Arabidopsis thaliana: one gene and its partners. The protein of the gene in region 2 interacts with the protein of the main gene of each other region in a pairwise test. Each region holds a gene or a part of one and is shown on either strand. Other genes may lie near its edges.

Region 1 (6,256 bases), about 16 Mb from region 2:
TGAGGGCTCTGAAAAAGTTCCAAGGGAGGGGAGATGAGCTACAGGAGAGATTTGATTGCTTTGTGAAGGCTGGTTTGGACTATAATGTGGTTAGCCAGCTTGTTAAGCGGGCGCCTCATATACTTAACCGGCCGAAAGATATCATAGAAAAGAAGATCATTATGCTAATAGATTATTTGGTTTATCCAATAGAATCCGTGATAGAGTCCCCAACATATTTGTGTTATAGTATGAAGAGAATACATCAGAGATTCACAATGTACATTTGGTTGAGGGAAAGAGATGCAGTAATACCGAGGCTGACACTAGGCACTGTTGTCGGTATTTCTAATACCCTTATTGTGCCATACTTTGTCAATACCCACCCGGAAGGTCCAGCTACTTGGGAAAATATAAAGAAAGCATCTACCTGATTAACTGGTCCGTTCAATGATATAACGTTATCTTCAATCTAGTGCAGATGTCTGTTGATCTATAACATTTTCTCATTGCTTAGCTCACAACCAGTGAAACCTGGAAATTCTCAGTGCGATGGAGAGGATCACAGAATATGTCGATGCATAGTGAAGTATTTCCGCCTGTGGATTTGATTGTACCTCTCTACTCATCAGTATAGATATAGATGCCAACAAACGAACAAGGAAGGACTTCGAGAAAGCTGAAAGAACAAAGGCTCTCCGTAATGTTGAAACGCCACTGAACTCAGTGAAGTGAATTTTAGACTGGACTGAACAGAGTGACAAATTGGAAAGGCACAGTCCTTCGTTGGTACAATATTCTTCTATTGCTTTACGATGTTGGAAAGGCACACTTAACATATAATGCAACTTGAAATGCTTTCTTTGTTGAAGAAGACAGATAGACAGTATTGGTCAGACAAGCCCCTGCCCCGACCCTATGCCAAAGAGAGCAGCTAACATCTACTTACTGGGACATACATGTGACAGTTCTGTTCAGAATGCATTATTACAGGTTGTTTGGAAGAATGGTTTTTGTTCTTTACTCTTAGCCACCAGTAGTCTTATCTTCTGTAATTATGTAAAGAGATAGCTATGATTGACAAATGATCATGTTTTTTCCTGACTTTTTGTGGAGTGTCTTTGTTTGTTTAAGTTTCAGGTATCTGAGAATATCTTGTAGATAACCTAAATATTAGATTTTTGTATTGAAAACAAAAGATTGCGTATAGTTAGAACGTTTTGGGTTAATCAGCACTCCTAATCTTGTACATCTATCTATCCATCTCTCTTTATTGAAACTGAACCTAAAGCATCTGTATAAAATCTGAGTAACATCCATAAAGAAAAAACCCTTTTAACAAAGATATCTAATTACATTTGACTTATGGTGCAGTTTCATGTTGTGTTGTGCAGGTCATCTCTTATGGAAGAAGAAGAAGGAGAAGATGAAGCAGAAAGACAAGACCGCGCAATCTTAGACTCTTTGTCTTTGCTATATGCCTTTTGGACATCATCCTTAAGCTCTCTATATCTCATTCTTTTCAATCTTCTTTCATGTGTAGATCCCTTCTCAAAATGGAAATCGTCGAGGATGTCGTCGTCTATATACTCAGCCATGTACTTATCTAGAACCTCTGAACCATATGGAAAAAACCTTCGACCAGTCTCAACTGCATTGTGAAACGGTAATGAAGTCAGTCAAGAGAAAATGAGCAACATAAGAAGATGAAGGGTAGACTTACAGAGAGCAAGCTTTTTGTTACCTGTTTTCATTAGAGCCACCATACGAGTAAGAAGTCTTTGGGTTTGCATATGAGGAGTTTCGTTTAAATCAACCTGACTCAAGTTTCCGGTTAACCCACTCGAAGGAGGTGACAAACCCGTGAACTCACTTGTACCTTCTACGTTACCAATGTCCATAGCAACTTTAGCTTCCGTTGGAAAGAACAACTGAGCAAGCCCCACTGCAAAAAAGGTAGAAGCTTTAACAAAAATGTAGTAAAGATACAGAAGAATTCAGTAATTTTCAGTCAATTACCTCTCTTTTCTAGGTACAACAGTCTCATCTGGAGATCTTCAGGCATAGAAATGGAACACATTGGTGTATCTAGAACCATGGGGTTCTTCCTGATTTCTCTTTCCAAGATATCGATGCATAACCTGGCTTTACTAGATTCACGCCCTTTAGCTGTTTTGGTATGATAATCCTTTGGATTTGTCAGTCTTCTTAATATATTAACTGCGCTACGTCCGTCAGATGTAAACTCAGATGCATTGGCGCCTTTATCGATAAGCGATATAATGATCGATGGCTCTCTACGCATCGCAGCAAAATGAAGAACCGTGTAACCCCGGGAATTCCTGTAGTTCACATCACCCATATCCAGAGCAAGAATCTCGGCAACAACTTTCGGATCACTATACACAACAGAATAATGCAGACCATTGGCTTGATCTAGAGTGATATCTGACTCAGTCAAAAGAAGCTTCACAAGCTCAACATCATCTGAATCCAAGGCCTTGAGAATTTTACCGATTCTTTCAAGCAATTTCTCCGAAATCTTGGGACTGGTTTCTTCGTCTTGCGGGGATATAAGTCGAAGCTGTTTAATCTTCTCTGCTACTTCGGGAGGAACTTCCTTTTCAATACAGAACCTGTAAAGATCTGACCTCGCCACTCTCTCAATACACTGATCAAGAAGCTGAGTCAACTTACAATTGAAAGCAACCATAAGAATGGGAAGAACATTCTCAACAAGGGTCTTCTCCACAAAGTTACAAAGCCGCCGCTGCAAGCACACAAACCTTTTAGTTCTCATTGAGGTCTATGAATTAAGAAACAAAGAGACCGAAGAAAAAAGAAGACTTTTCACACACCTGAAAAGATGAAACTAGCTCAGGCACTTGGAGAACAGAGGAAGCATACATCAATTGAACAACAAAATCAATGGCAGGTCGACAACAATCATGAGAACAAACTGGATCAACACAAGTCGAAACCTCCAATGGAAAAGGCTTTAATCTCCCAGTATATATATAACTCAAGAAATACAAGAAAGCTTCATGAGCAACAGCTCCATAAGGTAACATCTCTCTCAACTGATACTTTGGTTTCTCAGTTTTCGAAATTTTCTTTTCTTTCTTAAACAAATCTTGGAAAAACTTACTTCTTGCAGCTAAAATGCATCTATGAACACCAACTGGAACACCATCAACAATGATCTCTGCATCACTGTAATCACAATCTGAATTACTAAGAAGCTGCTCAAGATTGGAGCTGAGTTTGGTTAGACTAACAACTTCAGGATTAGAAGCTGAGCTTGATGAGAAGTGATTGGACCCAATAGAACCATAAGAGAAATGAGAAGATGTGAAACTCAAAGATGATGATGGCTCAGTCAAAGTAGCCATTTTCTCTTCTTCTTCTTCTTGTAGAATTATCAATCTTGCATGAAGATCAAGAAGATTACACAAGTCTGAAGATCGGTTTCAGATACAAAAGCCCTAAATTTACATTTCTAACAAGGAATCAACCAAACCCAGAACCAAAAGAGGAAAATTTGTACACTTGGGGATTTGAGTTATGAAACTATTACTCTTACACCTCTGATTCAATGTACCACAAAAAAAAGTCAAAAGGAAAGGAAGAAACTTTGGACAAGGAATCAAACAAAATTGGGAGAGAAAATAAACCCTAAGAGAATCTGACACAACCAAGGATATAGAGATTGAGATCTGCACAATCGTAAGAGATAAGATCAAAGAGAAGGCAAAAGAACCAAATTGAGATGTATCAAAGAGATAAAAAGGAAGAGAATTTAGAGGAAAAGTCAAGAAAGAAAGAGAGGTATATAAAGGATAAATGATGATGAAATTGAGAACAAACAGGACACAACAGGTGCAAGTGATGGTGAAAGAAAGAGACAGCTTCAATGTGAAGGAAGATACAGAGGAAACAAGAGAGTTAATATAATAGTTTTTTTTGTAAATTTAATAATATGAATTAATAAGCATTAGAATTAAAAACATGGTCTAATAAAGTGTATAAAGAAAGACTCAAATGAAAGTTGACAAATAGAAAACAAAGACTAGAAAAATCCGTGTATGATGCCAAAGGTTCTCCGTGTATGACGCCACTCACTAACATTTTCCACATCTTTCTCTAATTTAACAAATCTATGGATAAACACATATTTTTTTTCTCATCAAAATCACTATTTTTATTTGACTGCGATATATCACATCATTAATATATTTTTATTTACATCATATTATTCAATAGTTTTAATTTGTTTCTTAGGTGTAAATAACTTGTAATGATATGCCAATTAATGCCGTCACGAAATAGCATTAAGTCAAGAAGATTAATATTAAGAAATAGCCGTCACTATTGATGACGGAAGGAAGTGACGAAAGCAAATACGAACGGCATATGAATGACGTGGCTTGTGTGTGGATTGCTGCAATGTGATGACGTATTAAACAATTACACTTTCGGAATAGTAGATAAATCATAAAGTAATAGTAGAGATTATAATAGGCAATAGCTATGCCTATAGTGGTCCAAATTTTTATTAAATTTATAATTTTGTGATGACCAAAGTCATTCTTTGTGGCCTAGTTCCAAATTTTAAGACATAAATAACGTTTTGAAATGAATTGAATATAGATATGAGGGACGACAATTTTGTCTTGATTTTTTTTTTTAAAACAAGAAGATTCTTGGCTTCGTAACAAAGTGGTGAAGTCTCTTATGCTAGCATTCTAGTCGCGTCGGAAATTCGACTCTACCTACAAGGCTACAAATACAATCGGTGAAATGCGTTAGCTGACTATTAAAAAAAAAAAAACTCTTTAAGGATAGTCGTTGAATAGTTTATTCATCAAATTTTTATATGAAATAAAATTTAATTAGCATTATTTCGATTGGCAATGATTCCTATGATTAAATTTTCGACTTTCGGTAATGCTATCGAATATAGAATTCTAACTATAAATATATATTTTTAACAAAAAATAACATATAAGTGTAAACTTGGATAGTGACAATGCAACGTCACTAATACAAATCATATTAGTATATTACTTTGACTTAAACTATCAAATATACGCTAAGTTTTGGTCACTAGTGACGCTGCGTTACTTTGGTAAACCATATGTTAATTTGTATCTTTCGTTCACTAAGTATCACTAAATCATATATTAAACCATCAACGTCACTAATACAAATCATATTACTATGGCTTAAATCATCAAATATGCGATAAGTTTTGGTCACTAAATAATTATTTTATGTATTACTTTGGCTAAAACCATCAAATATTAACAAGACAAAAAAAAGTTTCCTACCAATTCGTTATTTAGATCAGAAGTTTTAACCCATTCAAATTTACAAATTTCTTACATAAACTAAGTATAACGATGTAACCCATAAAGCCTTGAACTCACACAAGATTGAGGACATATATATTGGTAGTTATTCAAAATTGTTATATCACTTTATGACTCAAAAACGTAATTTGTTTTGTTGATGTCAATGGATTGATTTCTTTTGTTTTCATGTTTTTTTCTTTTTTTGCCATAAGACCAAAAACTTCAGGCTTTACTTCATGAAAATCCTAACACTTTTCATTTTAGTGGAATATTTAAATTCTTAACAAAAAGACAAAAACAAAACTCATACAAGAGATAAATCATTCTAAAGAGGAGTGTAAACTAGTAAAGCGTGACCTAACACAAGAGATAAAAATCATTCTAAGAGGAATTGGAAACGAAACTTAACTTGATGAAACAATTAAAAAGAAAAATAACAAAACAAAAAGAAAACTCTTAAATTTTCCATAAAAATATATAGTCAATGCCGGCTTAACTATAGGGGCCGATAATATAAACTTATAGGGTACATAACTACATATACATAAATTTATAGGGCACAAAAAAAAAAATCTATACAAGATGGACACAATTTGTTTTTTGTATATACTCAAAAGGCACCTAATGTTTTTGTTAAAAGAAGAAGTATATAAAAAAATTATGATATTAAGGAATATATCTTTTAAATTTGTCCCAAAGCATCTAAAATGTATGAACCTGTATATGATGAACTTTTTTATATTTTGGAAGAGAAAACAACCTTGATGACTCATGTAAATGTATTACTGGAAATAAAAATTGAAGCATCGATCCAATGGGGTGGTGTGTCAGTGTCGGTGATGCTTCCTAGTTCCTGCTGAGAAGCTACGCGGAATATATGGTTTATCATACAAAGTCTCCTTATGTAATTTTTTTATAATATC
Region 2 (6,851 bases):
TTACAAGCTAACCATTAGGTTATTATGATCAGTGTCTCCATCTGTTGAGACTGATGTTCTTGGACTAGTATCTCCCATTTTTCTTTTTCTTCAAAATCTCTGTTACTAAATCATCAGATAAAAACCGATCCAATCGTGGTACCCTAGATGGAGTAAAGACTGTCAAAAGTAAGATGGTAAACATAAACAAAAGATTAGAGTTATAGAGAAAGAAAACATATTTTTAAGCCAAAAACCAACGCATTAAGTAGAATCAAGAAAGTGGAAACAATGATACGATACATCACCCTATTTATGTCACACTAACATAAAGATCCAAACCACTAAACTTAACACATAGCTGTGAAGCAACCAATGACCTCAAGAACTTTGAGTATTCAAAGCCAGAGAATCAAAGTAAACAATAAGCACGCCTATATGATTTGAAATGAGAACCAACGGACTTCTATAGCGTAAAGCTCTCCGTGAGGTGAAACAGTAACTAATCTGAACATTAGACTGAAGTAGAGCTAAAAGATTCAGAATTTAGCAAACTAGCCCCGGAAACAGAGTAAAAGACACAAAATTCAAGCTTCATAACATCAAATCTCAACCAATTCGTTTAAATAGTGTCCGAAATAATGATTTTGGATCCTTAACACGTACATAAAGCAAAAAGGAAAAAATTCCCTCAAAGGTCAAAATCTTCAATGGAAAAAAACAATCATGAAAGCAGAGGCAGAATAAGAAAACTGAAGAACTAAAACCCCTAAGACTATTGAAGAAGAGACTCACCTGAAAAGAACGGATTCTTTGAGCTTAACCCCAAACAAAAGTTGCTCGGAGAAAAAGCGATTTAGAGAAAGATCCGGAAAATTCCAATCTACAACTGCAAAGACGTGGTCTTTGTCTAAAACCCACAACAGATATAGTATCAATCACCAACAAAGGTTACTACTTTTGTATCTTCCTTCTTTGAGGTATTTTTAGTTGTACGATCTTCTTTTTTTTTATTTTGCCGGTCTCTGAAAAAAAACAGGAATGGAAGACGAAACTCAAGTGATGGTGGACCTCTAGATGCTGAGGGTTAAAAAGTCCTCTGAAAATTGCAACACTCTCTTTTTTCTAAAAACAAAATAATTCTTGGTTTTGACAATGACATGTCCCTTTTTTTATTACAAAAAAATCTATCACACTTACTTTGAATGTAAATTCATTTTCATCATCTCTTGGAAGTTTACATTAGAATCCTCACTAAATAAGATTTAAGACACAAGCGATGAAACTACAAAACTCAAATAGAACATCTTAATATTGTTAAATGATTACAGTACAGAAGTTGCAAGGTTAAAACACCTTTACCACACACAAAAGTAACAAAAAAAAACAAAATTCAATAACCTTTCTAAGATAATCGAAGATGCTATATAAACAACATTGAACTTTTCAAATGCTAAATTAAAAACTGATGACTACAACTAAAACAACATGAATTACCACAACCATGTAGAAGAAACCTACATACAAAGAGTCTTTTGTTTCCCAGAAATTTGCTTATTTGTTGATGGATTTGGTAAGAAGAATCTGACAAGTGTTGATTAATAGTCTCTCCTGGTTTTGTGTCCATATGGATTTTGTACAGCTGACATGTGACCAAAATACAGTTTCACTCTCTGGGTCGAGCAAGCCATAAGGAGCTTAGAGCTCGTAGCCGTGAGAAGTAATCGTGTATTGCAAGTAGAGCACGTGCTGACTGTCTCGTTGTTAATACTCTTATCATCTGTTGCAATGTTTGTAGTCTCAAATTATCAGCCTGCCACCACCAACCAAGAGACGATTATTAACCTATTGATATATATATATACTCTTAACTAAGATATCATCTCAAAACATCACAAGTGTTGTACCTGGCGGATAAATCCTTCGAGTGTACCTAACTTTCCCATTGCCATGGCCATCTGACCCATGTAGCTTGCGACATTCCCTGATGAACTTGAACCAAGAGTCCCGCTCGATAAAGTATCAGCTAGTGACTGTTGTAAGCTCTCCATCCCTTGAGACAAAGCATCTTCAGCCTGCTGCGATGTCTGTTGCAGGTTATTTATGCCCATCAACTGTCTCTCTGTCATTGGCTCCAACTGATTCGCCAGAAGCTGTTTCAACACATTTTTCCCTATGACCATTCTTTTTATGTTCTATGTAGAAACAGATGCAATCGGTGAAGACAAAGTGAAATTTGACCTCACCTTTAGAAGTTCGGATGAACGAAATCCACCGAGCCACAAGAAACATCTCTCAGCTGGTGTTTTCCACATGCCAGATAGCAAGTGAAAGACATCATTCTTAGCTGCATTGCTCTTTATCCTGAAAAGCTCCTCATAGTGAGCCATCACACCATCGACTATTATTCGAAGCTCAGAATCACCTGCATGCGCATTCAGAGCAGACCTCAGCTCGTTCATTTGCTTGTTCTTTTCTTCCAACCACCGTGAATGTTCAGCATCAAACGCCAAAGCACCTGAATTAAAAAATTTATACATGATCAAAACAAACCCATGAGATTCGTCATCTTGTAAATCTAAATCTACACCAGTGCTAATTAGAATAACAGTTTTTGCTATCAGAACCATGTCAGTCTGCCACTGACTCTGATAACCCAGTGTATTGTAATGGGATGAGATATGATGTACTAATTGATCAGTCTACACCAAGTCAACAGGAAGTTGATATATGAACTTAACTTATACACAAATTAGAAGCCAAAAAATAAACATAATTAAAACTAATGGAGAATAAGCAACCAACCATTTCCACCAGTAGAATGGGCCTGGTCTCCTGTGCCTGAAATGAAGACGCCCTAGAAACAAGAAATTTACCGTTAGGTATACAGAATAACAAAATAAAAATCAATAGAAATAAGAAACAAATTTGAACCTGCTGTCTTGCTCTTTGCAGCTCCTGCTCAAGCTGGGTTAGTTTCAAGCGGCTGTTCTCTAGCTGCTGAACATAAGCCTATGGAGGGAGCAATTAAAAGGAATTAACGTAGTACCAAATAGCTATGCTTCTAGCGATGCACCAATTTAAAAAGAAAAGAAAAAGTAAAAAAAGATAAAACCAATGGAAGGTAATATACCTTCTTCCTCAATCTGCTTTTCCTTGCTGCCTCACGGTTTTGAGCAAGCCTACGAAGAGTCTATGGATCAAAATATAAGGAAACAAAAAGAGATTATAAATTGGCTGAATAAAAACAGTGATCTTATCTACAGAGATGGACATGTCACCTTTTGATCCATCTTTCCCTTCGATCGGTCACTCGAATCAGAAGCAGCAGTATTCACTAGTGCTCCCTCCGACTGCATTAAAATTAACACCAGAATTTTTGTTTGGTCCATAAAAAATCACACTATTTTGAAGAATATAAGTGATAAAATCTAGCCAGATTATGAGCTAACCCCAAGATCAGGATGATCTGTGTCGTCATCTGTTGAGACATCAGTTCTCGGACTGGTATCAGCCATATTACTTTCTCACCACTTTTCTGTACTAACACTTGATAACAAAGACAATATCCACTTGTGGCCTCTCTTTTAGTAACAACTTCTTGAAATTTCTCTTGTGTGCACAGACTGCCAGGATTCGGAAGGAAATTAAGAAAAAGAAAAAAAGACAGAAAGAACAAAATTAGGTGATAGAATATAAAAGAAAGATCAACACCTACCAATACGAATCAATAGGAAATGAATCAGGAACAAATGTTGGTCACCCGGAGCATTGGCTGCGCTGAATGAGCACAAAAAAAAACAGCATTACATACCATCTCTTTTGCTAACATAGTTTTCAATTATGTCCTATAAAGTCAAGAAAAAGGTTCTCTAGTTTGTTTCAGTTAAACAAGCCAGCTAAAGAATGCTAAAGAGTCCTTTACTTATTCAAAGTGTCCTAAGGGAAATTCTGCTGACTACCATAAGTCACAAAGTCAAATATATAAGAACAATCTGTTTGTAGCTAACAGACTGACAAAAATAGCCCATCAAAAACACAACCTTTAAAGCAATTCATCAAACCCAATCAGACATGTAGCTTGCACAATCTACAAAGTCTGAGAAACTCATTCAGACCTTAAGCTTAGCTCGCGGATCAAAGTCAAAATCAGTGAGACTTAAGGTGTTGGCACAGTCGAAAATGCCTGAGTTTGAAAAATTAGGTACAGTCACACTCACACACATCATTTCAATTCAGTTTGAATGACACTAAAGTAGCTTCAGTAGCTGAATCTCTTAGTTTTGCAACTCTAGCTAGAACAAAAACTATTCAGTATTCACATCCGAGTTGACTCAATTCCTTACTCAGTATTCATATCCGAGTAAAGTAAAAAAAAAAAGCTAAACTCTAAATCTAGAACCAGTGAGAATTCGGCATGAAGCTGCAGCTATGATTTCAAACCAAGAAACTACCACCGAAACAGAATTCAAGAGATTAACATTTAATTCGATGATTTTGGTAGCTCAAAATTAAGAACAAAATCACCAATTAAAAAAAAAAAAAAGCTGAACTCTTTAAGCTTGAGAAAGTCAACTAGGTTTAACTTCAAAAGCAAAAAGACAGAGTTAACAAGTAGCTTCTTAGGACTGTGAAGGAGAAAACTCCCAGAAAAAAAACAAAGGAAGAAAAACCCTAGAAAAAAAGGTTGGCTTGATGAAGAAACTGACCTGGAAAAACGAAATCTTGAAGGTGCACAAGTAAAGGGCTTGATTCGAAATCGGATTGAAACAAAGAAACAGAGAGAGACACGATCCGAAATTCCAATCTCCGAGACGTCGTTTTGTCTACAAATCTACCAGTTCCCCATAGACCCTCGACCAAAATTTAACGGGAAATTTCAAACTAAACCCTATACTCTTTATTTTTACCATTAACCAACCCTACTATCTTATAATTGCAAAACCCACCCCGTATTTTCAACACCTGAAATTCAATTCACTCTCACTCTCACTCTCACTCTCACTCTCACTCTCTCACTACTTCACTCATTCAGCAGATCCTCTTCATTCTCTATTCTTAACTCATTAATGGCTACCAGATTCAAGCACCAGTTTTCAATCTCACTAGCCTTGACATTCTTCTTCTTCTTCACCAAGACCTTCTCTTTCACAGAGAACGAGGAACTTGGTAACCTTCTCAGATTCAAAGCCTCCTTTGATGATCCAAAAGGCTCTCTTTCAGGTTGGTTTAACACTTCTTCTTCGCACCATTGTAACTGGACTGGTATCACATGTACTAGAGCTCCTACTCTTTACGTCTCTTCCATTAACCTTCAAAGTTTGAATCTTTCTGGTGAAATCTCTGACTCCATTTGTGACCTCCCTTACCTCACTCACCTTGACCTCTCCTTGAACTTCTTCAATCAGCCTATCCCACTTCAGTTGTCTCGTTGTGTTACTTTAGAGACTCTTAATCTCAGCTCTAATCTCATCTGGGGCACAATCCCTGATCAGATTTCTGAGTTTAGTTCCTTGAAAGTTATTGACTTTAGCAGTAACCATGTCGAAGGTATGATTCCAGAAGATTTAGGGTTATTGTTTAATCTCCAAGTTCTCAACTTGGGAAGTAATTTGCTCACTGGTATCGTCCCTCCTGCTATTGGGAAGCTAAGTGAGCTTGTTGTTCTTGATTTGTCTGAAAACAGCTATTTGGTTAGTGAGATTCCTTCTTTTCTTGGGAAGCTAGACAAGCTTGAACAGCTTCTGTTGCATAGGTCAGGGTTCCATGGAGAGATTCCTACTTCGTTTGTTGGTTTGACAAGTTTGAGAACCTTGGATCTGAGTTTGAACAACCTGAGTGGTGAGATTCCTCGATCATTAGGCCCTTCTCTCAAGAACTTAGTGTCTCTTGATGTCTCACAGAATAAGTTATCTGGCTCTTTCCCTAGTGGCATTTGCAGTGGTAAAAGGCTTATTAACCTTTCTCTCCACTCGAATTTCTTTGAAGGGTCATTGCCTAACTCCATTGGTGAATGCCTTAGTCTGGAGAGGCTTCAAGTGCAGAACAATGGATTTTCTGGTGAGTTTCCAGTTGTGTTGTGGAAATTACCCAGGATTAAGATTATTAGAGCGGATAATAATCGGTTCACAGGTCAAGTGCCAGAGTCTGTGTCTTTGGCTTCTGCATTGGAGCAAGTTGAGATAGTCAACAATTCCTTTTCTGGTGAAATCCCACATGGTCTTGGATTGGTTAAGAGCTTGTATAAGTTTTCTGCTTCACAAAACCGGTTTAGTGGAGAGTTACCGCCGAATTTTTGCGACTCACCTGTCCTTAGTATTGTAAACATCTCTCACAATAGGCTCTTAGGAAAGATCCCAGAACTGAAAAACTGCAAGAAGCTTGTCTCTTTGTCTCTAGCAGGCAATGCATTCACCGGAGAAATCCCGCCATCACTTGCTGATTTACATGTTCTGACCTATCTTGATCTATCTGATAATAGTCTTACTGGTTTGATCCCTCAAGGCTTACAGAACCTAAAGCTTGCTCTTTTTAACGTGTCATTCAATGGATTATCAGGTGAGGTACCTCACTCTCTGGTCTCCGGGTTACCAGCTTCCTTTCTGCAAGGAAATCCTGAGCTTTGTGGACCCGGTTTACCCAATTCTTGCTCCTCTGATCGGTCTAACTTCCATAAAAAAGGTGGTAAAGCGTTGGTGTTATCTTTGATATGTTTAGCACTTGCTATTGCCACTTTCCTTGCGGTGTTATATCGTTATTCTCGAAAGAAAGTGCAATTCAAGAGTACTTGGCGCTCGGAGTTTTATTATCCCTTCAAGTTAACTGAGCATGAGTTGATGAAAGTGGTGAATGAAAGTTGTCCTTCCGGAAGT
Region 3 (4,043 bases), on a different chromosome or scaffold from region 2:
CGGTTGCATCAGATCATGTTTGATGATAGGGACTACGAGGGAGTCAAAAGAGCAAGGACATCGGCGTCAAGGCCCAGTGTCACACTAATGAACATTGAGAAGGATTATACCGTTGTTACCATGAGGTCCAAAGATAGACCAAAGCTTGTGTTTGACGTAGTCTGTACTTTGACTGATATGCAGTATGTGGTGTTCCATGGCATGGTCAGCACAGAACCAGTGGAGGCTTATCAGGTAACTACTCAACGGCCGTCTGTTGGGATCTCTCTTCTAACAATAATATGAGTGTTTTGCTGCAGGAATTTTACATCCGTCATGTGGATGGACTTCCCATAAACTCAGAAGCAGAGCAAGAACGTGTCATACAATGTCTGGAAGCAGCCATTGAGAGGAGAGCATCGGAGGTAACCAATTAGGAATGTGAAAATTCTCTGTCTTGGCTCAAATTACATTCTGTTCTGCATCGATTTCTGATATACTCAAGACAGATTGTGCATATGAAACATACTTTCAGGGTTTAGAGCTGGAATTATCAGCAGAAGACCGAGTTGGTCTTCTCTCAGACATAACCAGAACATTCCGAGAGAACAGCTTAACCATTGTGAGAGCAGAGATATCAACGCGAGAGGGTAAGGCTAAAGACACGTTCTACGTTACAGACGTGACTGGAAACCCGGTTGAATCAAAAATCGTGGAGTCAATCAGACAACAGATAGGAGTAAGCAAGCTGAAGGTGAAGAAGAAGGAGAAGGAGCATTGCTCTGTTCTTGGTACAAGCAGGCCTTCGCACGAAACAACTACAATGGGGTATTTGCTAAGTAACATCTTCAAACCCAAGTAGCTTCAAGCTTCACCTATCTCACTCATAGTCATAGAGTGTGTGTGTGCTTTGTATAGGTTAGACAGAGTAGGGCATCATTTAAGCTGATCGTAGCGATCCCCTCTCAACAAGTCCCTTGTGTGTAAATTTGTGTGAACAAAATAACAGGAACTGCCTTTGAATAGATACGGCGTCAGTTAATACCGTTGATTAATGGATCCAGGGGACATTAATAAAGATGCAAAGTGTTTACTATTATGATTTAATGAGAGCATTCGAAAGATCAATAAGAGATGAAGAAGAGGAAGACAGAGAAAGGTGAGCTTAAAACAACTCTCTCTCTAATTACAAACTATAATCTAAAACCTGTCATTACAGCCATTGACTAGTTTCCTAATCTTCCTCCACCACATTCTCTTACAAGAAAACTTCAAATAGAAAAGAAAAAAGAAAGCAGAGGAAGGGATCAGAGCCAGAGAGCGCCGGCGTCTTTGAGAAGAGGAACGAGAGAGCCGTTTATGTGAGAAGCCATGACTCTGTCCATAGCTCCAACCAGTTTACCGCCGATGAAGACGACCGGGAGAGACCCTGGAGAAGAGGAGCCGGAGCAGCCGAGGAGACGAATGAGGGCTCGCTGGATGTCGCCGCCGTAGGGGTGGAGGTCGAGCTCGTGGACGGCGGGGCTGACGCCCATTCCTCTGAAGAGACCCTTCACGGCGTGGCACATGCAGCACGTGCTCACGCTGAAGATCACCACCGCGCTCTCAGAAGCCAGGGACTCTATACGAAGCAGACCAGTGTCAGCCACCATCCCCAAACCGCCGAATCCTAAGCTGCTCATCTTGTATGATCCCCACGATTCTGTCTGGTATTGCATCTTTGATATCTCTTCTCTTTCTCTTGTTACACTTTTGTTTGGAAAGAAACTAGATTAAACACGAATAAGAGAGAAAGAGGGATTGGCTAAAGTTTGTTGGTGAGAAGAGAGTGAGAGCCATGCAGAGTATTTATAGAGGCCTACTACACCTCTGAGTCTAACTCTGTTTTCCTCTAATTATTAGTATTATTGTTTCTTTCTTTATTATTTGTGTATAATAACATGACCTCTATTTACTTCTCCATGAAAAAAAGAAAAAAAGTAACAAAACATATGAATTAAAACCGATGACATCAAGATAGTGATTGCTGTTGAAAACAAACACCGATAATAGTTATCGGAATAATTTCATTTTTTTGTAAAAAAAAAAAAAAAGGCAAGGAGAGTTGAAGAACAGGCTTTTATCAGAAGGGAGTTGTTGGTAATAGACGGCTCCGTCTGTCCTTCTTGTCGGCTCTTACCGCTCTCACCATTAATTTTCTTACCACTTAATTCTCTCTTTTTCTTTCTTTGTATTTTCAGATACATGATCATAAAGTAAGAAACCATAATTTCCACGTAGATAAGCTCCCTCAATCTGTACAATATGGATTTTGGCAGGGTTTTTCTTTTATTCCATTCTACTCTGTAAAATATATAATTCCATACGACCGAGTAATCATCAATCCAGCAAATGTGTAATCATCACATCATAATTTGTTAAGGAGTCAGAATCTTATGTTTCTTATCCAGATTAATAGCATCCTCCTTATATATATAGAAAAAGAATTATGACTCGAGAATTATGATGTGTACATATTTTATAAGAACAGCACCCATGAATTAATTTGGATGGGTTTAATTATAACAATATTAAAATTTGAACAATTTTATATAGAAAAAGCCTTTTTTTTTTTTCTTCAAAGTTTACAAAGTTTGTAGTTTGTGACATGCTTTTGGCTTCCACGCTTGTGTCCTTTATACACGAAATGCCTTTTTTGTGTGTCTCAGGTTTGAGCTCCACAATAAATTAAATCTTAAAATGAGATTTAAAACGAAGGATTGATGGAAGAGAAGATTTTATATGTATATTGAATATAGTAAGAGAAGTCCGTACAGTTATGCTCCCTCTAGCTGAAAAAGAAAGTTACTTCTTTTAGTGTTTAAACTCATGTATTTCTTTTCTGGAAAAAAATCTTTGCATGAGAAATCGTAAAAGATAAATAATCTTGTCGGATTGTGGTTGTCGGATCGCTTTACCTTTGATTTTTGATTTTTTTTTTAAAAATCTAGTTTTCCTGACAGAAGACTTACGTAACACTTGTCATACAATGTTTGATCTGTTCAACCGATTCTCCGATATTAACCCTTTCGAGTAGCGTATGTACATGCTTTTCAATAAGGGTATTTTGAACATTTCTGAAGTTCGTATTCAACGCCTGAAACTTGAAACTTTGAACATTCCTTATTCCTTTGTATATTGATCTAGCTCTTTTCTGTTTTTGGCTTTTTTTTTTATTCTTCAAAGTTTAAATATGTATATACAAGGCTAACATTATACAAAACTTTAAAAATCTTTCGTTTTATGATTATCAATAAAAAGATGATTTTCTTCTTGTAAAAAAAAACATTTTAGAGAGAAAAAGAAAAAAAAAAAAGAGATTTTGATCGATCGGACGGGTAGGGTTAGATGGCAGGAAACGAGAGCCCTCTGGCCTATATTAATTAGTACAACAAAATATATAAATTGATATCAAAATAAAAAATAGAAAGAATACGAGCGTGATGCTATCTTTTCAGCTTTATCTGGTCTTTGCCATTTATAAATATCTGTGTGTATGTCTCTCTTTGCACAATATTAATGTTGTGCTTTGTTATAAATATATCTTCATTTCATATTTTTATATTTTCAAATTTCGTTTTTTTTTTACCTCTTACGGTGAAACAAAGCCGATAGGGAGATGAAAGGTGGGGTTTGAACTAAACCCTAAAATAAGCTTTAGAGAGTTCTATCGTCGAAGTATAATGGTCCGAGTCTGATTCCAACACCTGACCAAGATATGTCCCTACGGGTTATAAAACAATGTATATATTATATATATACAAACAGCTGGCTCATATATATCTGTAATACACTGATACAGAGGAAGGTACATATCTGTGCCTATGTATGCGCGTGGTGTAGCTGTATATGCTATGGAACATGTATATATGTTATAATGTATATTGAATTTCCAAAAAGCTTTAGTTAGTAAAAAAATAAATGGAAAACGTAAAAACAAAAAAGAAGGCAAAAGAAAAAGGAAGATATCGCATGTCGGTGTCGCGGCGAAAAGGCGGTGAGGGTATTGTGGGAGTGCTCACGAA
Region 4 (5,015 bases), on a different chromosome or scaffold from region 2:
AGATAATAATGATGTAGAGGAGGTTTTAGTTTCATCACCCAAAGAAAGTGCTAATATTGATCTTTGTACATCACCAGTTAAGGCTGAGGCATTGTCACCACTTACGGCTAAGGCATCATCACCTGTTAACGCTGAGGATGCTGACATAGTATCGTCAAAGCCTAGTTCTGATTTGAAATCCAAAACTACATCTGTTTTCATACCTGATGGTGAACGTTTATGGGAAGGTGTGCTCCAGCTGAGTCCTTCTACTGTGAGCTCTGTCATCGGCATTCTAAGAAGGTTTGTAATAAATTGTTTCATGAGTGGTAGCAAACCTATCTCAGTATTTTTTTTTTATTCCACATTTCCAAATTTAGGTTTGCATATATGAATAGCTTTCTTTATTTAGTCTACATGTTACTACTTATCTATACTATTCTAGTGCTTATCAGCTCTATAAAATGTTTTTTTAATGAATATGGCTTCGCTGTTATTGATACCATGTTTACCAACCTGATTTTTACGCTTCACAGTGGCGAAAAGACTACTACAAAAGAGTGGCCTATTTTGCTCGAGATTAAGGGTAGAGTCAGATTAGATGCATTTGAGAAGTTTGTTCGAGAGCTCCCAAATTCCAGGAGTCGTGCTGTAATGGTATTTGTCTACACGTTTACCTCTATCATTAATGTACATGTTTTATATACGCATTCTGTGTTTGAGCCCCTGCAAAAGCTATTAACTGTGACGTTTAACCAAGCTTAAGTAGAAGCATTTAGGAAAGAAGAGGAGAGATTAACGGCCAATACTGATTTGTGAATGATTGAGAAAAATACATTACATCTGTGAATCACAATGGAGATAGATGGACTTACAAAAATATTTTCACCAGAACAATTGCATAGCTTATGTTTCTTGAATAGGCCTCCATATTCCAATAAAACTAAGACCTGTTTGTTCTCGATTCTATATGTATGTGATGAACTCGTTTATCCATCATGGTACTTCTGAAACCTTGCTTTCGTGTTACAGGTTATGTGTTTCGTCTGCAAAGAAGAGTGCTCAAAGACAGAACAAGAGAACATTTCCGAGGTATGAGCGTTGGTAGTTAACCAAGATTCTGTGTATCCAAATAAACGAAAAGATGATTAAAAAAACTTGAGATTTATTTGAATATTAATGATTTATTTGATCAAAACTGAACGCGAATCTGTACAAACTGAAAACCCAAACCGAATTTAAATTGAAACACTCCTAAATATCTGTAGAATGTCTAACTTGGTAACGAAATTTGGGCATTTGGTTTTGTTACTATACAGGTGGTGGATTCATACGCTAAAGATGGGAGGGTGGGTTATGCAGAACCAGCTTCAGGAGTTGAGCTATACCTATGCCCAACCCGTGGGAGAACTGTCGAGATTCTAAACAAGATTGTTCCGAGAAACCAACTCGATTTCTTGAAATCTATAAATGATGATGGTCTTATAGGTGTTGTTGTATGGAGAAGACACACAATTTAAAAAATCACCACTATCTAACAACTCTCACAAGAACCACCGTGAAAAGGGTTCTTCGTTAACCACATATAATACTTCTCGTTACAGTAACATGCTACAGGTCAACAATGACGATGGTGATGATGTGCCACCGGGGTTTGGCCCAATGACCATGGCTCGGGATGAAGATGATGACTTGCCTGAATTTAACTATTTTTCCAGTGGGGATGTTGTCGTGAACCGGACAAGCCGGTCTGTATCTGTAAGAGAGCTTATTCAAAAATATGGAAAATCTGAACCTTTGAGGAACCAAAGTTATAATGATAATGACAATGATATACTACCAGAGTGGCAGCCTCAATCTAACTGGACTCTTGGGGTTACTCATGTAAATGGTGGCTCGATGGTTAGACCATGTAGTGAGTGGTGGTCTCATCAGGATGGCAGAGGAGGATATTAATTGTTTTTTGTTTCACCTTAGCAATTTTGTGTTTGTTATGCATTTTCTGTTGCAGGCAACACTGCTTTCCAAATTTTGTGATTTTCTCTCAACAGTCACCGATATTTGGCACTTTATTAGTAAGATGGGCTTGCGCAGCCCGCTAATATATTGCTCCTTTCTGTAACAAAAAGTACAAAAGTAACAAAATCCACTCCTATCGATTATACTATAAAACAGAAGTGCAGAGAAAATTTCAGTCATGATATTTTTTGACCAGCTCGATTCAGAAATTTGGAAAGACTAGCTTTTTTTTCTCTCGGGTTTCACTTTTTAAAGGTCGTGAAAATTTGGGAATCACTGATCAATTTTGTTAATATGATTTCCTGATTTAGGGTTTCTCTGCATGCCTCTAGAATCAGCAAGTGTAAAGCAATTACCATGGTGACTCCGAAGCAGATCGATTTCTCTTCCTGTGGTGGTGGTGATAACTCCGACGATACCCTCTCCCATCGAGAATCTCCACGGAATCCTTCCTCAAAGCGTGCTGCTGCTTCCTTCGCAGCAGAAGCAGGCGAAGAGACTATGAAGAAGAAAAAGAAGAAGAAGAAGAAGAATTTGGGTCCGCCGTTGATCGTCCGGATCTGGAACGAGGAAGATGAGCTCTCTATCTTAAAGGTATTCTATTCATCTTCTCCGTTACACTTTGATTTGGTTTTGCATTCTGATTTTCTCAAAACCAGATTCGAAATTTCTCAGGGATTAGTTGATTACAGAGCTAAGACAGGATTCAATCCCAAAATTGATTGGGATGCGTTTTACAGTTTCCTCGGAAGTTCTATCGTTGCGAAATTCTCCAAGGAGCAGGTTTTGAGTAAGATCAGGAAGTTGAAAAGGAGATTTCATGTTCATTGGGAGAAAATCAGTGAAGGGAATGATCCGAAATTTACTAGGTCTAGTGATTCTGAAGCCTTTGGATTTTCTTCGATGATTTGGGGACAAGGTGAATTTGGTAATGATGATGGTATGGATAAGGAGATGGTGAAGGAGCACGATGTAAACGGAAATGGCGCAGCTGAAAATGGGACTGCTCGAATAGCACAGGAGAACGAGAGTGGGGAGGAGATGTTAAAGGAGCATGAGGAAACGTTAAATGAGAATGGTGCAGAGGAGATAAGAGACAACGACGAGACTGCTCGGAAAGCACAGCAGCTCGAGAGCGAGAGCGAGGAGGAGATGTTGAAGGAGCATGAGGAACCCTTTAATGAGAATGGTGCAGAGAATATAAGAGACAATAACGGGACTACTCAAATAGCACAGCAGAGCGAGAGCGAGAGTGAGGAGATGTTGAAGGAGCATGAGGAAGTGGCTAATACTGAACTTGTAAATGAGAATGGGGCAGCGAAAACAACAGAGAACGGGACTACTGGTGGAAAAGAGAGACATGATGACGATGATGATGATGAGTTATGCGCTGTGCAGGATGCATTTGAGGCTGTAATGTCGCAAGGTTTAAGTGGTTATCAAAAGAAGTTGCAGCTTGAGAAGCTGATGAACCTTGGAACTGGAAAAAGAAGAGAGTTGAGTGATGAATGGAAAGCGTTATGTGTTGAGGAAAGAAGATTGAATATCAAGAAGCTTAGATTTTCCGCCAAGCTTGCAGAGGCAGCTAATGATAGTTAGATGAAACCAATAAGCCGTTGTAGCATTTGGTGTTAATTAGGTTCTTAGTAAGCCATAAGCTTTAGTCTGTTCAGTGTATATCTTTGGATGTTGTCTTTGTTCTGTTTGGGCAAGTGTTTGTAAGACATTCCAGTTTTAACTGAAGTATCCAGAAGAGCCATCCATGTCCATTGTTGGATATAATAAATTTCATTACTTTCTTGTTGCACCAATCAGTCAATGAAGTGGCAAAACATTTTATATGCATTCCCTAACAAAAGGCATTTACAATGTAATTTTTACATTTTTAACCACTAAAAGGCCAGAAGAAGTGCACAAAGAAAGACTGACCAAATAATAAAATAATTTTTCTTGTCGGTAGTCACCAAAACCATGCTATTCCAAAATGCACTTCCTTTGCAACAAACGGCTTATATCCATATGAATCCGACAGAGGAAGACAAAAGGATTTAGTCTTGTGATGTAGCAGAGTATTCAAAAAGCAAACGTTTGGAAGGTGCAGATTGCAGAAGGACACGCAAGCGGCTCGTGAGCTGGTAAATAAGTGTCCATTGCATTGCCATCTCAGAATCTTTCATCTGTCTTACCACAGAGGCCTGTAGATAAAAGACAGCAAGAACCGTGGAGTGCTTATTTTGGTTAGGTTTTGAAAAAAATGAGGCCATATGGAGAAGAAAGAAGATTTCAATGTTTATGCCTGACCTGAAGACGTTTTCCGAGCTGCACTTCAACTTCCGTTCCAAATGATATGTTGCTCGCCAGAGACTTGAGAGGATCCACAGTTGGATCAACAGAGAGTAAACTTGGGATCTGCGGAGCATACACCAACCTCCATCTCGCCTGACCAAACTCTCCTTTTCCTTCTATCCTTGGCATTATGGTTCCAAGTGTTGCGGTTGCAAGTTTTTTGAAAGCAAGTTGTCCATCTCCTTCTAATATGGATTCTGCTAATTGGCTCTCAAACACCTTTGCAGCCTGCGAAAGGGAGATTATTAAACAGAGATTTCCATCAAGAAGAAAACACAACAATTTCCAAAATACAGCTACATTTTAACTTCAAATTTACCTCCGAAGGTGAGAGAGCATCCTGTTCAACAGAACGTGTTGAAGTCACGACAAGTTTGTCCTGCCAATTACTGGCACGACTTTGAACCCTAAATTGCCATTCTGAACCAACTAAGGCTAAATCTAGCAGAGGATCTAGTCCATGTTCAGGCTCAAACTTTGCAACGTTGAGATGCTCCCTCTTCAGACGTACCTGTGTTTAGAAAACAAAATAGATGTTGGTTACTCGAGGACATGTTGGCTTTGCAAGAATTATGGAATGAATGAGTTCACCACATAAAATCAAAACAGAGATTTAGGCAAAACCTGAGTAGCCACAAGATTGACATCTCCGTTTTCGAATGTTAGGACAC

The links.
Region 1: the proteins of AHBP-1B (region 2) and NPR3 interact in binary tests that used the Arabidopsis thaliana proteins (3 or more experiments, as listed by UniProt).
Region 3: the proteins of AHBP-1B (region 2) and ROXY1 interact in binary tests that used the Arabidopsis thaliana proteins (3 or more experiments, as listed by UniProt).
Region 4: the proteins of AHBP-1B (region 2) and AT2G25650 interact in binary tests that used the Arabidopsis thaliana proteins (3 or more experiments, as listed by UniProt).

What each region holds. Positions count from the first base shown.
Region 1 is NC_003076.8:18,226,434-18,232,689, reverse strand, and holds NPR3 (NPR1-like protein 3), read right to left. Parts: upstream 3,923-6,256; 5' UTR 3,372-3,922; coding exon 2,838-3,371; intron 2,750-2,837; coding exon 1,999-2,749; intron 1,925-1,998; coding exon 1,724-1,924; coding exon of another isoform or gene 1,659-1,723; exon of another isoform or gene 1,631-1,658; coding exon 1,356-1,630; 3' UTR 1,112-1,355; downstream 1-1,111. Other genes in the region: AT5G45113 (mitochondrial transcription termination factor-related / mTERF-like protein), read left to right, coding at 1-413. UniProt on the Arabidopsis thaliana protein: Salicylic acid (SA)-binding substrate-specific adapter of an E3 ubiquitin-protein ligase complex (CUL3-RBX1-BTB) which mediates the ubiquitination and subsequent proteasomal degradation of NPR1 in response to SA.
Region 2 is NC_003076.8:2,148,969-2,155,819, reverse strand, and holds AHBP-1B (bZIP transcription factor family protein), read right to left. Parts: upstream 4,981-6,851; 5' UTR 4,689-4,980; exon of another isoform or gene 4,685-4,688; intron 4,512-4,684; exon of another isoform or gene 4,023-4,511; intron 3,760-4,022; 5' UTR 3,698-3,759; exon of another isoform or gene 3,694-3,697; intron 3,606-3,693; 5' UTR 3,498-3,605; coding exon 3,432-3,497; intron 3,333-3,431; coding exon 3,261-3,332; intron 3,173-3,260; coding exon 3,113-3,172; intron 2,992-3,112; coding exon 2,914-2,991; intron 2,837-2,913; coding exon 2,785-2,836; intron 2,498-2,784; coding exon 2,226-2,497; intron 2,133-2,225; coding exon 1,887-2,132; intron 1,793-1,886; coding exon 1,646-1,792; 3' UTR 1,234-1,645; downstream 1-1,233. Other genes in the region: OBF5 (OCS-element binding factor 5), read right to left, coding at 13-78; AT5G06940 (Leucine-rich repeat receptor-like protein kinase family protein), read left to right, coding at 5,049-6,851.
Region 3 is NC_003074.8:331,226-335,268, forward strand, and holds ROXY1 (Thioredoxin superfamily protein), read right to left. Parts: upstream 1,848-4,043; 5' UTR 1,698-1,847; coding exon 1,287-1,697; 3' UTR 1,050-1,286; downstream 1-1,049. Other genes in the region: ACR6 (ACT domain repeat 6), read left to right, coding at 1-234, 300-404, 515-841. UniProt on the Arabidopsis thaliana protein: Has a glutathione-disulfide oxidoreductase activity in the presence of NADPH and glutathione reductase. Reduces low molecular weight disulfides and proteins.
Region 4 is NC_003071.7:10,912,410-10,917,424, forward strand, and holds AT2G25650 (DNA-binding storekeeper protein-related transcriptional regulator), read left to right. Parts: upstream 1-2,101; 5' UTR 2,102-2,355; coding exon 2,356-2,592; intron 2,593-2,673; coding exon 2,674-3,597; 3' UTR 3,598-3,807; downstream 3,808-5,015. Other genes in the region: AT2G25640 (SPOC domain / Transcription elongation factor S-II protein), read left to right, coding at 1-282, 516-636, 1,012-1,071, 1,299-1,499; emb2410 (embryo defective 2410), read right to left, coding at 4,047-4,193, 4,300-4,572, 4,664-4,855, 4,969-5,015. UniProt on the Arabidopsis thaliana protein: Probable transcription factor. May play redundant roles with GEBP and GPL2 in cytokinin responses by regulating the transcript levels of type-A ARR response genes. Involved in stress responses.